3 linked regions of the Arabidopsis thaliana genome follow. The protein of the gene in region 2 purifies or fractionates together with the protein of the main gene of each other region. This does not show direct contact. Each region holds a gene or a part of one and is shown on either strand. Other genes may lie near its edges.

Region 1 (7,331 bases), on a different chromosome or scaffold from region 2:
AAGTAACCAATCCTTTAAACAAAAGATTGGATTGGGTTCTGTTTGGTGGAAGGAAGATGGTACCCACGGCTTCTAACTTAGTCTTTAGACTGAGACTTGAGACTGAACATTGATCCTTCTAGGTACCCTCGGCTTGAAAATATCTAGACATATGGATCATGTTTGGTTTCTTGTGTCAGTTTTTAGACAAAAATCAAGTTACCCACGGCTTAAAAAAGTCTTTACACAGAGACTTGAGGTTCAATATAACCAATTCTTTAGACAAAAGATTGGATTGGGTTATGTTTGGTGGATGGTAAATGGTACCCACGGCTTCAAACTTTAGTCTTTAGATTGAGACTTGAGACTGAACATTGATCCTTCTTGGTACCCTCGGCTTGAAAATATCTAGACATATGGATCATGTTCGGTTTCTTGTTTCACTTTTTAGACAATGATCAAGTTACTCACGGCTTAAAACAGTCTTTAGACAGAGACATGGGGTTCGAAGTAACCAATTCTTTAGACAAAAGATTGGATTGGGTTATGTTTGGTGGAAGGAAGATGGTACCCACGGCTTCTAACTTAGTCTTTAGACTGAGACTTGAGACTGAACATTGATCCTTCTTGGTACTCTCGGCTTGAAAATATCTAGATATATGGATTATGTTCGGTTTCTTGTCTCAGTTTTTAGACAAAAATCAAGTTACCCATGGCTTAAAAAAGTCTTTACACAGAGACTTGAGGTTCAATATAACCAATTCTTTAGACAAAAGATTGGATTGGGTTATGTTTGGTGGAAGGTAAATGGTACCCACGGCTTCAAATTTTAGTCTCTAGATTGAGACTTGAGACAGAACATTGATCCTGCTTGGTACCCTCGGCTTGAAAATATCTAGACATATGGATCATGTTCGGTTTCTTGTTTCACTTTTTAGACAATGATCAAGTTACTCACGGCTTAAAACAGTCTTTAGACAGAGACATGGGGTTCGAAGTAACCAATTCTTTAGACAAAAGATTGGATTGGGTTATGTTTGGTGGAAGGAAGATGGTACCCACGGCTTCTAACTTAGTCTTTAGACTGAGACTTGAGACTGAACATTGATCCTTCTAGGTACCCTCGGCTTGAAAATATCTAGACATATGGATCATGTTTGGTTTCTTGTGTCAGTTTTTAGACAAAAATCAAGTTACCCACGGCTTAAAAAAGTCTTTACACAGAGACTTGAGGTTCAATATAACCAATTCTTTAGACAAAAGATTGGATTGGGTTATGTTTGGTGGATGGTAAATGGTACCCACGGCTTCAAACTTTAGTCTTTAGATTGAGACTTGAGACTGAACATTGATCCTTCTTGGTACCCTCGGCTTGAAAATATCTAGACATATGGATCATGTTCGGTTTCTTGTTTCACTTTTTAGACAATGATCAAGTTACTCACGGCTTAAAACAGTCTTTAGACAGAGACATGGGGTTCGAAGTAACCAATCCTTTAAACAAAAAATTGGATTGGGTTATGTTTGGTGGAAAGAAGATGGTACCCACGGCTTCCAACTTAGTCTTTAGACTGAGACTAGAGACTGAACATTGATCCTTCTTGGTACCCTCGGCTTGAAAATATCTAGACATATGGATCATGTTCGGTTTCTTGTGTCAGTTTTTAGACAAAAATCATATTACCCACGGCTTAAAAAAGTCTTTACACAGAGACTTGAGGTTCAAAATAACCAATTCTTTAGACAAAAGATTGGATTGGCTTATGTTTGGTGGAAGGAAGATGGTACCCACGGCTTCAAACTTTGGTATTAAGATTAAGACTTGAGAGTGAACATTGATCCTTCTTGTTAGCCACGACTTTAAAATCTCTAGACATATGGATCATGTTCGGTTTCTTGTTTCAGTCTTTAGACAAAGATCAAGTTACCCACGGCTTAAGAAAGTCTTAAGACAGAGACTTGAGGTTCGAAGTAACCAATCCTTTAGACAAAAGATTGGATTGGGTTATGTTTGGTGCACGGAAAATGGTACCCACGGCTTCAAACTTAGTCTGAGACTTGAGATTCGACATTGATCCTTCTTGGTACACACGGCTTGAAAATCACTAGACAAATGGATCATGTTCAGTTTCTTGTTTCAATCTTTAGATAAAGAAACACTCACGGCTTAAAACATTATAAGTCATTAGACAGAGACTTATAATTTTAAACAATGGAAATTTGGATAATAAACTTACAAGACGATGTTAAACTAACCGGATTTTGGATCCCATCATTGATCGTTAGCGATTCCAAAAATTCAGCTTGTCTTCCCATCGTTAAGTAGATTTATAATACAAGTTTCTGTTGATCCTTCTTGGTACCCTCGACTTGAAACTCACTACACATATGGATCATGTTCGGTGTCTTGTTTCAATCTTTAGACAAAAGAATACCCACGGCTTAAAACATTATGTCTTTAGACAGAGACTCGAGGTTCGAAAGTAACCAATCTTTTGTCAAAAAGATTGGATTTGGTTATGTTTGGTGCAAGGAAAATGGTACCCACGGCTTTAAACTTTAGTCTTTCGAGTGAACTGAAACTTGAGATTCCAACATTGATTCTTTTGGTACCCACGGCTTGAATATCTTTAGACATATGGATCATGTTCGGTCTCTTGTGTCAGTCTTTAGACAAAGATCAAGTTACCCACGGCTTAAAATAGTCAGAGACTTGAGGTTCGAAGTAACCAATCCTTTAGACAAAAGATTGGATTGGATTGGCTTATGTTTTGGTTGATGAAAAATGGTACCCACGACTTCAAACTTTAGATTGAGACTTGAGATTAGAACATTGATCCTTCTTTGGTACCCACAGTTCAAAAATCTCTAGACATATGGATCATGTTCGGTTTCTTGTTTCAGTGTTTAGACAGAGTTGGATAATAATGGACGATGTTGGGTTATGTTTGGATAATAAATTTACAAGACCAGATTTTAAACAATGGAAATTTGGATAATAAATTTACAAGACGATGTTGAATAACCGGTTTTGGATCCCGTCATTGATAGTTAGCGATTCCACAAATTCAACTTGTTTTTACATCGTTATGTAGATTTAGAATACAAGTTTGTGTTGAAAAAAAATATATACAAGTTTCTTATTTTTTTAGAAAAGATTCCCAAATTTTTCCATACGTTTAGCATGCTACCAACCTTGTAAGAGGGTTCGTCGTTGTGTGAGATTAGTGTAATTTGTTATGGGATCAGGATCAACCAATCAAGATTTCACCAACTTGCTAATATGTGAAAGACAGACAAATAGAGTAACAGTGAAGACTGAAGATGATGGTTGTGATGTGATGAACAAGTTCTAAAATATTTAGGTCCAAAAGATCTTCCCATGGAGCTTGGTTGTGAAAGTGCTAACTGAGATTTCTCCAACATGCACACATTGTTGCAAAAGCTTCCCCCTGCATTTTATTATACAAACAAACAAACAAAAATGTCACCATAATGGATGAATGTTTGTTCACCATGAGTATGCGACTTATTAACATATTACATTTTAGCATTACTACATCCAAATACTTCAACTATCATCATATATTGGAAATTTGGATTGATGGCTTGAGTCATAAAAACCTACAAAAGGATTGGACGATACTTTTAGTAAAATCTCTTAAAATTGTCCGCAGTGACCAAAATGCTAAAAAGCTAGAAGGATATACAGACTTTTATCTTACTTTATGTATCAGAAAATCAATATTTCTTAATAAATATGATAAAGTGTTTCAGTTTATTTTGAGTTTAGAAAAAGCCAAATGAATTGGAATCAAAATAATGTAGGTAAAAAAGAGAAGTGGAATTAAAATAAAATCATTCTATCCAATCAAAACGGTAAGTAGTTGTGCGTTTTAGAGGCAAAACACCACAGCGTTTCGAAGCACGTGGATGTGTCGTGTGATACAGCAGTAGCGCACTATTGGGCATTGAGAATACATAATCATAACCCCTGCAATCTAACGGTCAACCTTTTAATAACCCTTGTAGGTTAAATCTCTACCGTTTATTCGAATTACTTTTCCAAGGTAAGAAAAAAGCAAACACAAAAGGGAATATCAAACAACAAAAAAGTAAGAAAGAGCGGTAAGACAGAGACGGAGAAGAAGGAGAAGAAGATTGTTAAGACGAAACCCTGTTGCTGTCCGTACAATGCCGCCGAAGAAGAGTAAGGCAGATGGAGAAGAAAAGGCGAAACCTTTAACGACGTTGGCGTCGTCTAGAGTGACTCGGAGCATGGACAGTCGAACTCGAAGTCAGACTCAACAAAACGGTGCTAAAGCGGCTGGATCCGCCACTAAGCCGGCGACGAAGAAGGCTAAGAGGAAGAATTCAGCGATTGAGACTGGGAGAGCCAAGAAGGGAAAGAAGGAAGAGGAAGTTGAAGAGCCAGAGGAAGCCGTTGAGGAGGAGGTTGAGAAGGAAGAGCCAGAGGTTGAGGACCCTACGAGAACCAAGATTGTTATAGAACACTGGTAATTTTTGCGTAAATGTTTTCGATTTCTTTAGAGATAATGTTTGGAATCATAAGAGCAAAAATTTAGGTTTTTTTCTTTGAAATTGAATCTAAAAGCCTACAACTTTGGGGTATGTGTTGAGACTTGTGTGTCCGTGTGTAGCAGCTAAGGTTTATTTGCTAGGGTGGAACAATGTGTTAGGTTTTCATCTTGATTCTGCATAAGTTTTTGGTTTGAGTGATTAGTGGTTTATGTTTTGCTCGCATTTGTGAAGAGGACTTGACTATCTGCTTTCTGTTTGTGTTCTTGTCTTGCTTTAGCTGAATTGCAATGCGTAATGGACGTGTTCATTCTATAAATGGAATTTGCTTCTATACTTATGTCTCACAAGAGTTCTTTTTTGTTTTGTTTTGTGATGTTATTGAAGTAAACAATGCAATGCTTTCAAGACAAGAGCTATTCAGGTGAAGGAAGCTTTGGAGGGAGCTGTTCCTGGCGTCACGGTGTCTCTTAATCCTGAAAAGGTAATGCTTTTACTGCAGATGAATATATCGTCATGAATGCTCCGTTTTGACTAATGCGTTAGAGCATACTTTTCACATTATACTTGATAAGATTTTCTTCTAAATTACTAATTCTTTCTTTTGATGTGCTTGAACAGCCAAGGCGGGGTTGCTTTGAGATCCGGGAGGAAGGTGGCCAAACATTCATCAGTCTTTTGGTAAAAACTTTCATTCTAATAAAAACAAATCTCAATTTGTCTCGCTTCTGCATATGATTTGTTCAGTTTGAGTAAGGTTTATTGTTATTACTAATTCTCATAACACCACTTGCTCTATATGCATATGAGAATGAAAATCAACTTGATCCTTATTCATTACGAGAAATGTGTTATTGTGAGTAGAAATCATGAATATGTTTTTGCCTTTCAATCTTAACATAGACCTAAAGATGTAGATTATGTTTATCTCATTTTGTAGGAGATGAAACGTCCATTTGCACCAATGAAGGCACTTGATATGGAAGAAGTCATCGAGGACATCATAAAGAAAGTCAAATGAATCTGTTCTTTGTTTCTGCCTCGGTCTCAGTTTAATCAATTAGGTTTCTGCAGAAGACTTTCTAGAGTAATGTCAGATTTGTTAGGTTCACTTTTATTGTTTCGGTATGAGCACTGTAAGTGCAGTCTCGTCGTTTGGCAATGCATGATTAGTTGATAGAGAAGGATCTCTGTAGTTTTTGGGGTTAACTCGTATTTGTAAGGCTAGTTTATTATTCATCTCGTTGCTTGAAGCAAACCGATGCATAAGTGTTTTTTGTTGTTGGGACCATGCATGGTTCTAACAATCTATGCACTGGTTAAAGCATGTTCTAACACAATTAGAACTGTGTTACAAAATCAATAGGACAAACATCACATTTGCATTCAAAATGGCTGATAAATACAATGCATGATGAGTAGAAAGCTCATTACATTTAGGTTTCTTTCACTTCCAATGGCCGTGTCTCTCTTCTTGGCTAAAAGCTACAGAAAAATTGTTTTGAATCTCACCTACCATTATTGTCTTTAACCCACATCACCCGAATCTTAGAACCCAGCAAAGCTAGCCAAAAATGCTAACAAGAGAATAACATCAAAGCTCCAACCAGCCTTAGAAGCAGAAGAAGATGGTTTAGCCTTATCAGCAGCTTCAATCTTCTCATTATCGGCGCTTGGAGCAGGAGCTGGAGAATCAGCCTCTGGTGTGTCTGTTGCAGGTGCAGGTGGAGTTTTTGGGACAGCAGAATCTGGGGAATTGTCATCAGCAGCTGGTCCTGGAGCTGGAACCACTGAAGCATCCATGGGAGTTGGATATGGAGCTACATGAACGTATGGTGGTGGAGGTGGGAAAATTGCAAGGCTGAGTCCAGGAGCCACTATTGGCATGGTAATCTGGATGATAGAGAGGTTATATGGATTGTGGTACACCGTCGAGACATACTCAGCGTTTAAAGGAGAGTTCTTCACTTCCGATCCAAAGTAAACTCTTCCTTTTGATTTGGAAACGTTCAAGAAACCATTCATCTGTTCACCCAACCCGGTGGTTTGGTATAAGGTAGTAAGCATTATACTCTTCTCCCTCATCCCCTGAAGCTTAAGCTCATCGTAGTAGTCAAGAATAACATGAGTCATGAGGATGTTCCTGAGCTCAACTTCGGATCTGTTAGTGATGGAGCTGATAGCGTCATTGCTAACAGCAAGCACGGTTATCGTCTGGTATTTGTCGATGGCTGCAATGAGCTTGGTCTTGATGAAGAGGTCCCTCATGGTGCTGAATTTGGAGTATTTCTGAAAGGCCAGCGTGATGTTATTCGCCGTAACGACCTTAGAGAAGACGAGTAAGATGGTGAGGGAGAGGAGAGAAAGGGAGGCTTTGAGACCCATCTCGTGTCGTGTGTTCTCTTTGCTAAACCTCAAGGGCGAAGAGTGGGTTTAAAAGGAGAGATTTTCTCTGTTTTTGGTATTAAATCTGAATTAGTCTTTTGGTGAGCTAAGTCTACTCTGCTATTTTTAGAGTATAGTAAGACTTGGCCATTGAGAATTTAATTATTTGATGGCTAAATTGCGTTTTAACAAGTTTTTTTATGTTAATTGAAAAAGTTTTCTTCTGTGCGAAAGGAACTAAAATTATAATGATGGAACTTGCATGTTTATTAGATGAATTTATCATTGTAACAAAATTATAGTTGTTTTGTTTACAATCTGATGAAGTTTTAGTTAATGATTTCTAAAGTTGATGGAAAAGATAACCTAAAAGACTCTTAACATGAATAATTAAACACTAGTAATTTTTATTTTTGCTAAAAAAATTA
Region 2 (7,763 bases):
ACCAATTATAACCCAATAATTTATTCTTTATAATCCGATTATTCCTCATGTGCTAATAGTTTGTGTCCGGAATCACGGATTGAAAAATAAAAAGTAAGAAAAATAGTGACAGATAAAAAATCATACAAATATTTGTCTCTTTCTTCAGACGACCCATTGGTCTCTGTCTCTCTCTCAAGTCTCATCTATAGAGTTACCTTTTTATACACTGTGTAAAACAATAAGTCCCTTTCTCCTCTTTAATTTCTCTTCCTTTTTTTGTGTCTTAAATGGAAAATATATGATTTCTGATGATCAGTCTCACGACTCTCATCTCTTTCTCTTTCTCTATAAATGACCTATTATGATGTTTATGCAGCTATATATATGGACATTTGTGTCTGTATTTTTCTATCCATCTTCTCATTCTATAGTAGAAAAGAGGAAAAACACAAAAGACAACAGTAGAAAAGGAGAAAGAAAGAAAAAATCTCACTTTGATTTCTTCTACTTATATCTCTCATCTTGCAAAAAAGCAAGAGGTCTCTTCTTATTTTGCAGGTTGTTCCTCTTTGCCTCACCATATTTGAACAACATCATCATCACTGAATCTATCCTTTTTTGTAGCACCTACCTCACCACTTTGCAGTACAAGGAAGTAGCCAAGTGCTAATTCTATCTCTCTTTTTAGTTATTTATTATATATATCCTTTAACCAGAAAAAGTTATTTATTATAAATAACTTAAAACCTAATCTTTGCCCTAAATCACTCAACTCGATCTGGAGAAAGAACCCTAATTTGGAAACATATCTAAAAAGCTATGGATTTGATCTCTCAAAACCACAACAACAGAAACCCTAATACCAGTCTCTCGACGCAAACCCCTTCTTCCTTTTCTTCTCCACCTTCCTCTAGCCGCTACGAGAACCAGAAACGCCGTGACTGGAACACTTTCTGCCAATACCTCAGAAACCACCATCCACCGCTCTCTCTAGCTTCTTGCAGTGGCGCACACGTCCTCGATTTTCTGCGTTACCTTGACCAATTCGGCAAAACCAAAGTCCACCACCAAAACTGCGCCTTCTTTGGCCTCCCAAATCCACCGGCTCCTTGTCCTTGTCCTCTCCGACAAGCCTGGGGCTCACTCGACGCCCTCATTGGTCGTCTCCGTGCAGCCTACGAGGAGAACGGTGGCGCTCCCGAGACTAGCCCTTTTGGCTCACGGTCCGTCAGGATTTTCCTCAGGGAGGTTAGAGATTTCCAGGCTAAGTCACGTGGTGTTAGCTATGAGAAGAAGAGGAAAAGGGTCAACAACAAGCAAATAACTCAGTCCCAACCACAGTCCCAACCGCCTTTACCCCAGCAGCCACAGCAGGAGCAAGGTCAGTCTATGATGGCTAATTACCACCACGGTGCAACTCAATAATGTCGTATAACTTTATGTATGCTCGCATCTAGCTATTTATATCTACGTATCAACCTTTGTATTCGTGTAACGCAATCCCTATTCTCCTCCACCCACTGTTAATTTATATCATTGTTTCTTAATTAGACCTATTGTTTTGTTTTTCTTATAATCAATAAATGAAAAGAACTTGGATTTTATTTGGCTTATATATGATTATGTCATGGCCTCTTTTATATATTATATTGTCTAGATGATGAATTGATGATAATCGAGATTTTATAAAATTCGAATCATGAACATGAAGTGATATTTGTTGTCAGCTTGGATATTAATTAAGTGATATATCGATCGATATCATATGACGACTTCTGTTAGATTTAATATTTCTGTAAGGTCATAATTATGAATATAATATACTAGTTACTTGTTAGGGTTTATACTATGCATGAACATATACTTATAAATTTCAATTTCATCCACTCAAACGTGAAGCTTAACGTACAATTATTTTTCTGATAAATTAAACGGCTATATTTCTTCAGATTATTTTTGATACATATATTTTGTCTAATATATTTACGGATTTTCTTCATCTCCATGTCATTAATGTGTTCACCGTTAACTTCTTGTTTCGGCCGCATAGCTAAGAGAAAAATATCGAAATGTGTATTTTATTGGTTTAGTATATTTTCCCCAATATGATGTTTGACTAAACATGAGTGTGTGAGAGAATGTTGCACAAAATTGAAATTTGAAAGGCAAATCTAAAACGCATCTATAATTGCAAAAAGACAAAATATGATCATAGTTTCAATTATTGATGACAGCTAATCTTGTTACACAAATTTCTTCCCAATTTGTTATTAGCGGAACGTCGATTTGACAATTTTAGAATATTAAAAATTTTCATCAGAACATATTTCTCACAAAATTATGTGTTTGATATGTCACTATCGATTTCAAACTCATATAATATTCTGTAAAAAAGACAAAAATATTAAACGGATTGATTCCTTTTTTCGCTTGTGTTTTAAATTCAGAAACGTCGCTGTTAACATATTGATCGGATGCTCTTTGCTTTTACCAACAGTGACATTTAAATGTAGTGACCTACCGTTTTGGATCTGTGGGCTGTGAACTTGTGATATGCATTGTCGACAATTTTTGTTGAAAGATGTTATAAATCTATTTAAATTATTATCTGTAACTATAGTTGAAACTCTGAGTTCGAATTTTTAACTTGCATTGACAAATAGTATATGAGATGTATAAATTGATGTTACACGAATTGGAATTGATTACCAAACAGTGATGTAACCGGTTTTGCGCTCATCTCTGTAATGTGGTTCCCCCTTCAATAAAAGCAACGTAGAATAGAACAGTTTGGTCTCGGGGCACTCAAGGCAAGAGTTTAAAATCGTATGGACGAGTTTCGTCGACATTGGCTCAGGCTAATAGGGGACTAAGAAACGTGGACAAATGAAAATGATGTGTCCGTACGAGGTAGGCTTTGAATGTAGCTGTAAGAAATATTATTATTTAAACATTTTGTTGTAAGATTATGATTTTTTTTGCATAATTTAGCACCACATGTGGTTATTCCCTATTTGGGAGGGCCCTTGTTATACAGTCTTTTGGATTTATTTCTGATCCTCTTGCACATTTTTGAACAGAGTCGTCGTTTATATAAATGTAGTACTTGTGCAATATTTCTAAGAATTTCAAAAATATTTTCAGATTCTCTGGTTAAAACTTAAAAGCTACCAGAAAAGTTGTTGGTAAAATGGTTTAAACTACTTAGTGAATAACATTGAACCAGGTTTAATCCGGTTTAGCCACGTTCTCAATTGATCGTCTATTGGTGTAGTCTCGTCTGATTTAGGAACCCATAGGCTTTTTGTGAAGATACTATTGGGCCTCAGCCCAATAATTAGAAAACCGTAAATTTCCAATTTAAGTGGGAAAACAAATTAAAAAAAAAGAATAAACAAAATTTGAGGTTTCGATTTTGCGATTCGGCGATTTGCTTCTCCGATGTCAATCCCACCATCTTCAGGTTCTTCTTCTTCATCTTCCTCGTCTCAGTACACATACGCAGCTAATTCTTACTATTCCGCTCCGTATCAGCCTCCACAGCCTTACGCGGCGGCGCCTTCGCCTGCTGTACCGGCGCCTGTGGCATCCATTCCCGGAGCTACGGTCTATCCTCAGCCTGTTGGACCGGTTCCTGCCGTCTACGCTTACCCTCAGTACCAACAGGTTAGTTGGATTTGAAAAATCAGGAGTTTGATTCGTGGCGTTGTGTATTTATGATTCTGGGTTCGAATTAGGGTTTGCGAAATCTCTCTCCTTTGATTTTAGGGGTTTAATGTTGTTTTTGATATTGAAGTTTCTCGTTATGATTGTGTAATGCTTGTCACTCATGGATCTCACATGTTTTACAGTTAAAGATTTGTTCTTTGGATTTGATTTTACTTGTTTTGTGAAATTTCTGCCAAGTTTAGGTTTAAGGTAGAAAGTTGGTATCTTCATTGTTGTTTGATTCGGTTGTATTTATTGGCAGGCACATCAATTGTTCCAAAGAGATGCACAGACAATTACACCAGAAGCTCTTGAGAATGTAAAAGCTGCTTTGGCAAGTAGTGAAACCGAACACAAAGCAGAAACTAAAAAGAGAGCCATTCCTCGTAAAGCTGCTGGACAGTCTTGGGAGGATCCTACTCTTTCAGAATGGCCAGAAAGTAAGCTCTGCTCGTCTTTTTCTTCTTCTTTCCCTTGATTTTGCTGATTGTTGTTTTAGTTTACGGGATGGTATCATAGTTGTTCATAGGTAGGATTTTAGATGTTTTCTTCTCTGTTGTTAAAATAGATTTCTTATATCTTTCTAACATTTGGCAGATGACTATCGTCTGTTCTGTGGTGATCTTGGGAACGAAGTGAATGATGATGTTCTTTCCAAAGCATTTGCTAGATTCCCCACCTTCAATATGGCCAAGGTAACTGTGTATATCTCTCCTCCTTTTCGGCTTTAGTGATTATTCATATCTGGTTTCCTATGAACATATATTTGAGAACATTAGTCATGTGATTGTAGTCAACTGTGATGCATTTGCAAACCAAAACACATAGTATGTTCAGAACAGAGCATGGTTGACCTTAGATCATACGGATCATTCTTACTCGAATCACAAAGATAAGTATTCAGTGTTAGTTTTGTGGTCAAACTCGTACCAGAAAAATAAGAGTCTTATTTACCATGACAGGTCATTAGAGATAAGCGGACTGGTAAAACCAAGGGTTATGGGTTTGTGAGTTTCTTAAATCCTGCGGATCTAGCAGCAGCCTTAAAAGAAATGAATGGTAAGCACCTTGTTTTTAGTTTCTGTTTGATGTGTTGCTTCATCTTGATATCTCATCTCACTGTTTTTGTCAGAACTTGTTATATGATTCTGTTCTATAATCACTGTCGTTGAACATTCTGATTTGGTCCACTGATTTCATATGAATACACAGGTAAGTATGTTGGAAATCGTCCGATAAAACTACGAAAGAGTAGCTGGAAAGAGAGAACAGATCAGGAGGCTGCTGAAAGACAAAAGGCAAGTATCTTGACTCGAACGTTTTGATAGATACATTTGCAAAGGATTTTATTTTTATGAGTATCTAATTCTTGATTATAACTGATGGTTCTCTGTTTGATTGTAAATGCAGCATCACAGCAATAAGAAGCAAAAAACTGTGAAGAAGAGCATACTTCACAAGTGACGATCTCTTTTATTTTTGTGGCTTAAAATTTCCAAACCTGTTACTCATAAATATAAATGAACAAACATTATCATTAGTTTTGTTGAAAACGGTATGGTTATGTATTGTTGGGCTGCTATGTTTAGCTTTAGCCCCAACCGGTGGTATTTACTTTATGAAAACGTGTGTCCACAATAGGCTCGAGCACAAACTTTTCTTACATCTTTTTCACTCCATTAAAACGTTCAAGTGGTCTGAGCATATTACAAGAAAATCAATATTACTATTTAAGGATCGATTATAAGAAAGAAGATGTATACTATCTAACATAGTTTTTTGGTAGTTATGTAAAGAAAGAGTTGGAATTTCTAGGCATCATACATCTTCTAAGGTGATGTTATAACCCGAATGGGTTCTTTATCAGCGTTTTCGTTACACATACTTTACTCCAATCTGTAATTTAAATTTACCAGTAACACTTTAATTTTACGAAAATGTCTCACATTTCCTGAAGTTACTCAAAGTCATTTTTTTTTCCTTCTTTTTTTGTGTTATTGTTTTTCTTTAAACTTTCTAAAATATATTCCACATTAACAGCTCAACAAATTATGCCCTAAATATGTGAATCGGCTAGCAATGGGTCTAAACATAGCAATTCAGTGGTGTTTGTTTTGTGAAAATACGTCTAATGCAAAGAAAGTTAATCACCAATTTATTGATGCGTTGTAGATATTTTTCTTCTTTGTAAAAGTGATCTTTCTAATAAACATAACATGGTTTCTTTTACTACAAAAAAAAAAAAAACTGAAAATTAACATATGTAGCGAAAGAGACAAAGAGTAGTTATGCGAAATGGAGAAATTATAGATATCTGGCAACATCATTGAATCCGCCTTGATATATATTTTTCACATAGGTTGTGATGATTCTGTATGTAACATATGTATGTAAATATTATTTGACAACGATAGACTAAAATATGTAGACAGTTTGAGTATACTAATTGCATTTATTAGAGGAGCTTTGACGACTATCAGACTTGGGTGAATGGAGGAGAAGATAGGCAATCACTAGAAACTAATAAAGTAAACATTATTGAGTTTTGTCAACGACAAACTGAATAGAGATTGAAAAAAAAAAAAAAATCTAAAAAAACAAGAAAAGACTGATGCAAAAAAAAAAAATTGTCGAATCAAGAATAATGTGAACCGCTCCTGCATGCATAGGTCCCCTGTATGAAAAACTCGTGTTGCTTGACTTCTTGGCATCGTAGTAAGCGGTGTTCGTAGCTCCCACTATAAAATCGTCAATCGGCTGGAAATCACGGTTGTTAACCACGATTTCCAGATCGCGCATATAAGCAGTTTTGGCACTATTCGAAAGGTATCCAGATCCCATCTGAGTAGTCGTGTGTCGGCCAGATAAATTGGCGTTTACTATCTCACCGCCCCATTTCACCTCTTCTGCATAATTGTTGAGGCAAGTAAAGATCTCGGTCGGCCAATAGCCAACTGGTGTAAGTACAATGTCATTGGCCGAACCGACAGACAACCACCAATGTCCGAGGTTTTTAATATGTAAATCATTATCTAATTAATATTTTGTACATAACTTTCAACATACAGTAAGACTTTTTATATATAACTGGATTATTGTGTGTTATTTTACTCTCATTATAATGTGCCGGATTATTGTGGTCAAATTAGTCTCTCAAATTTTCTTCCAGTTTCGATTTTGATGGAAGTGACGGTTTTATAAATATATTTTAATATATATTTAAGCAAAACATAAGGAAAAAAAAAACAAAAATTGAGCAAAACATAACATTTTTATTTAATATCAAATTCATGATTTAAAAAATAAATAGAAATGTTAAAATTAAAACAACTATTGACTAATTAAGACACTTAAAAAAGAGGTAACAATACAAATTAAATAACTTCTTGGTCTCAAATTTACCTAATTTATTTTATATCACTATTAGCTGATCTTCAATATTTATAGATAAATATTTATGGTGGAAATTAATGGAATATGTATTAAAATTCTCTGGTGAATTTGGTCAAAGATAATTTTTATTTCTAACATAAACTGTAAATTGACCAAATGCAAAGCTTTTTGAACCAAAAGAAAAATCTTGCCCCAGTGGCTTCAATGAAAAAGTATTTTGTAAGACATACATATTAATTCATGCATTGTATTGATTACTTTTTTACTAAACTACATTTTCTAAACTATAAGAGATGATCACATTGGTCTTAAGTTCGCATTTGTAAAAGTAAAATTTAATTGTTACAAACGGAAAAAACCACTTCTACCAAGTAAATTCTTTTTACAACCCAAAAAAAAAGCAAATAAGTTCTAAAATTCGGTCACCTAGTTTTCAGAAACCCACGAACTTCGACAAGGAAGTTGTTGAGGTTCTTTCTGAATCTTTGGTAGTTGAGACGGTCCAACGATGAGGATAGCTGGTTTGACGTTGTGAGCACCTGAAGCGCGTTTGCTAGCCTAGTTTTAAAGTTCGGATTCGCCTGCTTCTCAATCAGTTCGTTGCCCAATCCCTAGATGTAGCACAGACTTTCAAGTTACTGCTGTTTAAAGCATAGAAACTCGGTTTACTTTTTTAAGTG
Region 3 (6,727 bases), on a different chromosome or scaffold from region 2:
GGTTAGGTTTCTCATTCTTTCTGTTGGCTATTTTATTGTGTGTTTTGCTTCAACAGGTTGCATTAAAAGCACTGCTAGTTATACACCGGCTTCTGAGGGATGGTGATCCGACATTTAGAGAGGAGCTATTGAATTTTTCGCAAAAAGGACGCATTATGCAAATTTCTAATTTCAAGGATGACTCTAGCCCAGTCGGTGAGTCCTTACTGCTACATTCACGGGTCTATGTGTTTTTAGAAGCAAATGAGGTTCATTCAAGGTTTCTGCATAGAGTTATTGTTGATATGGTATTTGCTTTATGCTTGCTTACAGCATGGGATTGTTCAGGGTGGGTACGCACTTATGCGTTGTTTCTTGAGGAACGGCTTGAATGCTTCAGGGTTCTGAAATATGACATCGAGGCTGAACGTCTTCCAAAAGTTTCCCCAGGGCAGGAGAAGGTATCAAATTTGCGTTTTACTTGGTTTTCTGGCCTTATATTATCTCCTTTCCTTCCTGAGGGTATTCGATTTTGGAAATGAACAGGGGTATAGCAAAACAAGGGATTTAGATGGTGAAAAACTCTTGGAACAGTTGCCAGCTTTACAACAGCTTCTGCATCGTCTCATTGGTTGTAAGGTGCTTCTTTGATGTCATTTCCCGAGTCGTGCACTATGTTTTGTAAATCCCGTATTATTTTCTATTAAGTTGGAGAAGCTTTTCCTGACGTATGAACTGACTTTGCTCTTTCGACTTTTTCAGCCAGAAGGTGCTGCTAAGCACAATCATATCATTCAATATGCACTCTCCCTGGTACATTAAACTAAACTCGGGGGCATAATTTACATATATCCGCTAGTTCTTAGTGTTGTGTCAAATATATACTATCTGGAAAGAACAGCTTGATTTAAGCTCTGAGATCTTATTGTAAATTGTGTATGCAGGTATTGAAGGAGAGTTTTAAAGTGTATTGTGCCATCAATGAAGGAATTATCAATCTAGTAGAGAAGGTAGGCCAGTTTTTTCTTTTCCCCCAGAGTTACTCTCTCCCTTCATGTGTTTTTTGATTTCTTACTGTTTTATACATGCATATATTGCAGTTCTTTGAAATGCCAAGACATGAGGCCATCAAGGCCCTTGAAATATACAAGCGTGCGGGTTTGCAGGTAATGTTGTTGGGTTATTTTCTCTGTTAGATCAATTTAGATTTCACTTAACAAGGGTTAGTTTATCAATGCAGGCTGGCAACCTTTCTGCCTTCTATGAAGTATGCAAAGGATTAGAACTTGCAAGGAATTTCCAGTTTCCTGTTTTAAGAGAGGTATCAGATAATAACTTGTTTGTTACATTTAAATTTGTGATGGCAGGTACTTTATCAATACTAAATAAGTCTATTTTTGTTTTTTTCAAGCCTCCACAATCTTTTCTTACAACAATGGAGGAATATATGAGAGACGCACCTCAGATGGTCGACGTCACATCTGGGCCACTGGTACATATATACTCTCATTGTGGTCCTACTCCTACAGAAACCATGATTTTTCTTTTATAACTTATTTCTAAAAACTTTGTCAACATACAGCTTCTGACCTATACGCCTGATGATGGTCTTACTTCTGAAGATGTTGGACCTTCACATGAAGAACATGAAACATCATCGCCTTCAGATAGTGCCGTTGTTCCCTCTGAAGAAACGCAACTTTCTTCCCAGTCTCCTCCTTCAGTAGAAACTCCACAGAACTTCATTGATACTGATGATCTATTGGTAAATTATGCTTATTACATATGGTCTTGATTTCTTTATTCTGTCATTGTTATCCTTTTGTCTCTGATTCTCTCAGTATTACACACAGGGTCTGCATGATGATACACCTGATCCGTTAGCAATCCTGGACCAAAATGCACTAGCTTTGGCCTTAGTTTCCAATGATGGTGAGCTTCTTGGTCTATGTACTGGAGCTCTAAGTTTGCCTTTCTTGCTTGTCTTTAGTCGCAATTCTGGTTATGTTTCTGTTTCCAGTTGATTCTTCGCCGTTTAGTTTTGGGCAAGCAAGAGATTTGGATCCGTCAGGATGGGAGCTTGCGTTGGTCACAACACCTAGCAATGATATATCTGCAGCCACAGAGAGACAGCTGGTAAGATGTATTCTTGTATTAGTGATAATGGGATGCATCAATTACGTACCATTGTCCTGTTAACGTATGTCACCTCTGGGGAATTGATTTTGTGGCTTCTGAATCATTAACATTTTTTTCTGCAACAAATGCAAGGCGGGTGGATTAGACACGCTCACCCTGAACAGTCTATATGACGATGGAGCCTTGAGAGCAGCCCAACAGCCTGCCTATGGCGTCCCAGCTTCCAATCCGTTTGAGGTCCAAGACCTGTTTGCATTTTCAGACAGTGTTTCACCGCCTTCAGCCGTAAACAACCCATTCGGTCTCTATGAGCCAACCTATCATCAACAAGAGCAGCAGCCACAGCTACAGGTTGCACCCAGCCCTGCAAATCCTTTTGGTGATTTTGGGGAGTTTCCAATAGTTCCGGTTTCAGAACCACAAAGCACCACCAGTTTTGGGGCATTTCCAGTACCGGTTTCAGAGCCGTCAAACACCACCGGCTTTGGGGAGATTCCAGTAGTCCCGGTTACAGAACCGCCAAACACCACCGCGTTTGGGGAATTTCCAGTGGTGCCGGTTTCAGAACCACAAAACATCACTGGGTTTGGGGCATTACCAGTAACCCCGGCTTCAGAACCATCAAACACCACCGGTTTTGGGGAATTTCCAGTAGTGTCGGTTTCAGCACCACAAAACACCACTGGGTTTGGGGCATTACCAGTAATCCCGGTATCAGAACCGTCAAAGACCACCGGTTTGGGGGAATTTCCAGTAGTCCCGGTTTCAGAACCGCAAAACACCACGGGTTTTGGGGAGTTCCCGGTAAACGCAGGTGCTCATGAGCAACATAACAGCAACAACCCCTTCGGCAGCACGGGCTTCTTGTGATCCCATCTTCGTATATTTCTCAAAATGCTTTATTTGTCTCATATGATTCTATTGTTTGTGAGTAGTAATAAAATCACATCATCTTCTAGTCTTGCAAATCTTGTTCTGCTAATAGAGAAAGACTCCTCGGGATTGATTATATAAATGAATTTTCATTGGTGGAAAAAAAATGAAAGATATATATAACTCATTGTGTTACATTAACAAAATAATTTGAAATATGATTAGCAAAAACGCTACGTAGTATGTCGTTTTCTGTTCTAGTAATCCAGCTAGGCTGAACCAATGGCCATTCGTTGAATAAAAAAGGAAGATTGGAGGAGAATTAGGTAATTTAAGGGTAATAGTCAGCAGAAGTCATTCCCATATGTCCACGTCAGTAATCCTGCTCGAGAAAGCTGCTATAAACTCAGAGCCGTTGGATCAACCCGTAAGTTTGAAAACCCCAACCGTCAGATCAACACTACAAGTTAATATGAGAATAATGAGAAAACCACTTTCCCAAATTGCTTTTTAAAATCCCTCCTCACACAGATTCCTTCCTTCATCACCTCACACACTCTCTACGCTTGACATGGCCTTCGATCTCCACCATGGCTCAGCTTCAGATACGCATTCATCAGAACTTCCGTCGTTTTCTCTCCCACCTTATCCTCAGGTGAAGTACACCCCTAAAATCTCTCAATCTCTCTCAATTTAGTTTCTGAAATTTTGGTTGAAATTTGTGTTTAGATGATAATGGAAGCGATTGAGTCCTTGAACGATAAGAACGGCTGCAACAAAACGACGATTGCTAAGCACATCGAGTCGACTCAACAAACTCTACCGCCGTCACACATGACGCTGCTCAGCTACCATCTCAACCAGATGAAGAAAACCGGTCAGCTAATCATGGTGAAGAACAATTATATGAAACCAGATCCAGATGCTCCTCCTAAGCGTGGTCGTGGCCGTCCTCCGAAGCAGAAGACTCAGGCCGAATCTGACGCCGCTGCTGCTGCTGTTGTTGCTGCCACCGTCGTCTCTACAGATCCGCCTAGATCTCGTGGCCGTCCACCGAAGCCGAAAGATCCATCGGAGCCTCCCCAGGAGAAGGTCATTACCGGATCTGGAAGGCCACGAGGACGACCACCGAAGAGACCGAGAACAGATTCGGAGACGGTTGCTGCGCCGGAACCGGCAGCTCAGGCGACAGGTGAGCGTAGGGGACGTGGGAGACCTCCGAAGGTGAAGCCGACGGTGGTTGCTCCGGTTGGGTGCTGAATTAATCGGTACTTATGCAATTTCGGAATCTTTAGTTACTGAAAAATGGAATCTCTTAGAGAGTAAGAGAGTGCTTTAATTTAGCTTAATTAGATTTATTTGGATTTCTTTCAGTATTTGGATTGTAAACTTTAGAATTTGTGTGTGTGTTGTTGCTTAGTCCTGAGATAAGATATAACATTAGCGACTGTGTATTATTATTATTACTGCATTGTGTTATGTGAAACTTTGTTCTCTTGTTGAACAATTATTGCTGCTTTGATTTCATTTTCACACTTAATAATGAGGGGAAAACTATGTAATTGGTAATGCTAAACATTCATTATTGTCACTAATTTAATTATGCTACAGTTAGCAGAAGAAAGAATCACTGTGGAATCAGCGCGGGAGTTGAAAATTTCAAAGGGAATTCAATTAGAAAAATCTGTGAAGCGAATGTGTGTAATCATTATCAATAGGGATTGAAATAGAAACTGTGAACAGAGTATGGAAGCTTTTTGGCATCCCCGTGAACAAAAAGGACAAAACCTTGTTTTCGTAAAGATTTTAGAGTGGGCCACTAATAGACAAACTTTGGGGTCATAGTCAGATGTTCTAATCATCTCACGGGTTTCAGTTCCCCTTAGACATGATGGCCAAAATTCATCCATATCATATCCAAATTCATCAAAGAAAAAAAAAAAAAAAAAAAAACCAGGTTCATGTATCAAATTTACTCATCAAAACCATGTATAATTATCTTCATTACTCATATAGCACACACCATATAAACACATATGACATATATTAATATTAATACAATCAAACATAGATTAATGTATAATTTGAACACCCAAACTCAGAGTTCTAACTCGGTTTCAAAGCCTCGAATACACATTATAAACTAAGCACACAACTTAACACATATATATATACAAGTGTTTTTATAACTTTAGGAATTTCAAGACCTAGCTTAGTTAGTTAGGCTCCATTGTTGGCGTAGGTATTAACGAGAGCGAGCGCATTACTCGTGAACCTCTTGACGTCGGCGACTCTATCGCAAATAGCCGTCTTCGTCTCTCCGTCTTCCATCTCCTCCGTGACCCCATCCGTACACGTCTCCTCGTCCGTCAACGCCGCGCTCATCCACGTCTGCACGTTACTCATCTGAAACCTAAACGCCGGATCTCCGGGACGACGGTGGTTCATCTCTCGGAGCTGCCTTAGGGAGCCACGCATCTGATCCACGGCATCTCCCACGTTCGAAACGCAGTCGTGGACAGCAGCTGAGGCAGCGCGACGTGAGAGTTTGGAGAGGTAAGCCGCCGTGTATTTTGCGCGGGAGAGAGAAACGCCGATTGCGAGTTTAGCTAGCCTTGCCGGATTATCTTGGACGGCGGAGGCGTATCCAGCTAGAGACGTGTAACATACGTCTGGATACAGCGTTGTGTTGCAGCTCGTACGGATGAAATCTAGATCATCGGTTGTTGGTTGTTCCGGAGGGAAACGGACGGCTGAGATTGTCCGGCAAATGAAGAGTAGGGTGACTAAGTAGAGAACCGTCGTCGTATAAAGCTGCCTCCCCATTTTAAGCTTTAAGTTTTTTACTCTGTTTATTTCTTCTTTGTTTCGAGTTAACATGTGAGATTGGAGGGTTTATGTAGACATTGAGTAATGGAGAAATGTGACATGTTTGCCCATTCATGCTCATTATAATCACATTATGGCCACTAATCATTTTGTCGGGTGTATTTTATCCATAGTTGGTGTGAAAAGGAAGGCTTGGTAGATTCACTATCTTAGCCGTACCTTAAAAGGAACTGCATTCTTTATGGTTATCTATCCCATATATATTTAAATTTTATAAGAAAATATGTTCATAACATATCAACGGTTAAAAAAATATCCATAACACTTCATTTTTATAACTATATTTTGTATGCACTTTTGTTTATAAATGTCGAGTATGAACACAAATGTTGAACTAGGTATGGGTCGCAAGTGAGATTTTGGGTGGACATTACTCCTCAGTTGCAATATCGACCACGAAAGGATCGTACGGTGAATACTATGATGGGACTCACCAAGTTATGGATGGAGTATGTGGAGATTCGCCTACAATCAATAATTCTGCTAAATAAAAGTAAATTATCCGAGAAGAAAATATCTGCACGCGTGATTATTAACATTGTACTAATAGTTTTCTCAAAATGCTCCAACTCATTGAATAACAATGTCTTTTTTTTCCTCTTTCTAAATAGACACCTTTTTTAGATTTTACTCATTTTTAGTGTTGAATCTGTTATATCAAGATTCAAGAGACAAATATATGACTCGAATTGTTTGAATTTTTGAACTTACTTTGTAGAACTAGGAACCCTAGAGAGTATCAATATAATTTGGAATTTTATTAGAAAAATTGTAGCGTTCTGATCTAATGCTATATATGAAAGAGAAGAAAATGATGACATGATCGTTTTAGTAAACGATCCACACC

The links.
Region 1: the proteins of AT3G04500 (region 2) and AT4G31360 fractionate together in Arabidopsis thaliana (co-fractionation; one large-scale study listed by BioGRID). This does not show direct contact.
Region 3: the proteins of AT3G04500 (region 2) and HMGA fractionate together in Arabidopsis thaliana (co-fractionation; one large-scale study listed by BioGRID). This does not show direct contact.

The regions. Positions count from the first base shown.
Region 1 is NC_003075.7:15,217,772-15,225,102, forward strand, and holds AT4G31360 (selenium binding protein), read left to right. Parts: upstream 1-4,071; 5' UTR 4,072-4,173; coding exon 4,174-4,496; intron 4,497-4,905; coding exon 4,906-5,002; intron 5,003-5,139; coding exon 5,140-5,199; intron 5,200-5,458; coding exon 5,459-5,539; 3' UTR 5,540-5,856; downstream 5,857-7,331. Other genes in the region: AT4G31351 (uncharacterized protein), read left to right, coding at 1-113; AT4G31354 (uncharacterized protein), read left to right, coding at 1,377-1,574; AT4G31355 (uncharacterized protein), read right to left, coding at 1,926-2,051; FLA5 (FASCICLIN-like arabinogalactan protein 5 precursor), read right to left, coding at 6,067-6,903.
Region 2 is NC_003074.8:1,209,456-1,217,218, reverse strand, and holds AT3G04500 (RNA-binding (RRM/RBD/RNP motifs) family protein), read left to right. Parts: upstream 1-3,311; 5' UTR 3,312-3,423; coding exon 3,424-3,648; intron 3,649-3,952; coding exon 3,953-4,130; intron 4,131-4,287; coding exon 4,288-4,385; coding exon of another isoform or gene 4,386-4,421; exon of another isoform or gene 4,422-4,483; coding exon of another isoform or gene 4,484-4,543; exon of another isoform or gene 4,544-4,652; coding exon 4,653-4,749; intron 4,750-4,902; coding exon 4,903-4,988; intron 4,989-5,100; coding exon 5,101-5,154; 3' UTR 5,155-5,457; downstream 5,458-7,763. Other genes in the region: LSH2 (LIGHT-DEPENDENT SHORT HYPOCOTYLS-like protein (DUF640)), read left to right, coding at 802-1,407; AT3G04490 (exportin-4 protein), read right to left, coding at 7,506-7,694.
Region 3 is NC_003070.9:5,136,189-5,142,915, reverse strand, and holds HMGA (high mobility group A), read left to right. Parts: upstream 1-3,448; 5' UTR 3,449-3,562; coding exon 3,563-3,646; intron 3,647-3,720; coding exon 3,721-4,251; 3' UTR 4,252-4,800; downstream 4,801-6,727. Other genes in the region: AT1G14910 (ENTH/ANTH/VHS superfamily protein), read left to right, coding at 57-195, 313-440, 526-618, 742-792, 924-989, 1,080-1,145, 1,220-1,300, 1,391-1,471 and 4 more; AT1G14890 (Plant invertase/pectin methylesterase inhibitor superfamily protein), read right to left, coding at 5,212-5,871. UniProt on the Arabidopsis thaliana protein: Binds A/T-rich DNA with a highly dynamic distribution into the nucleus.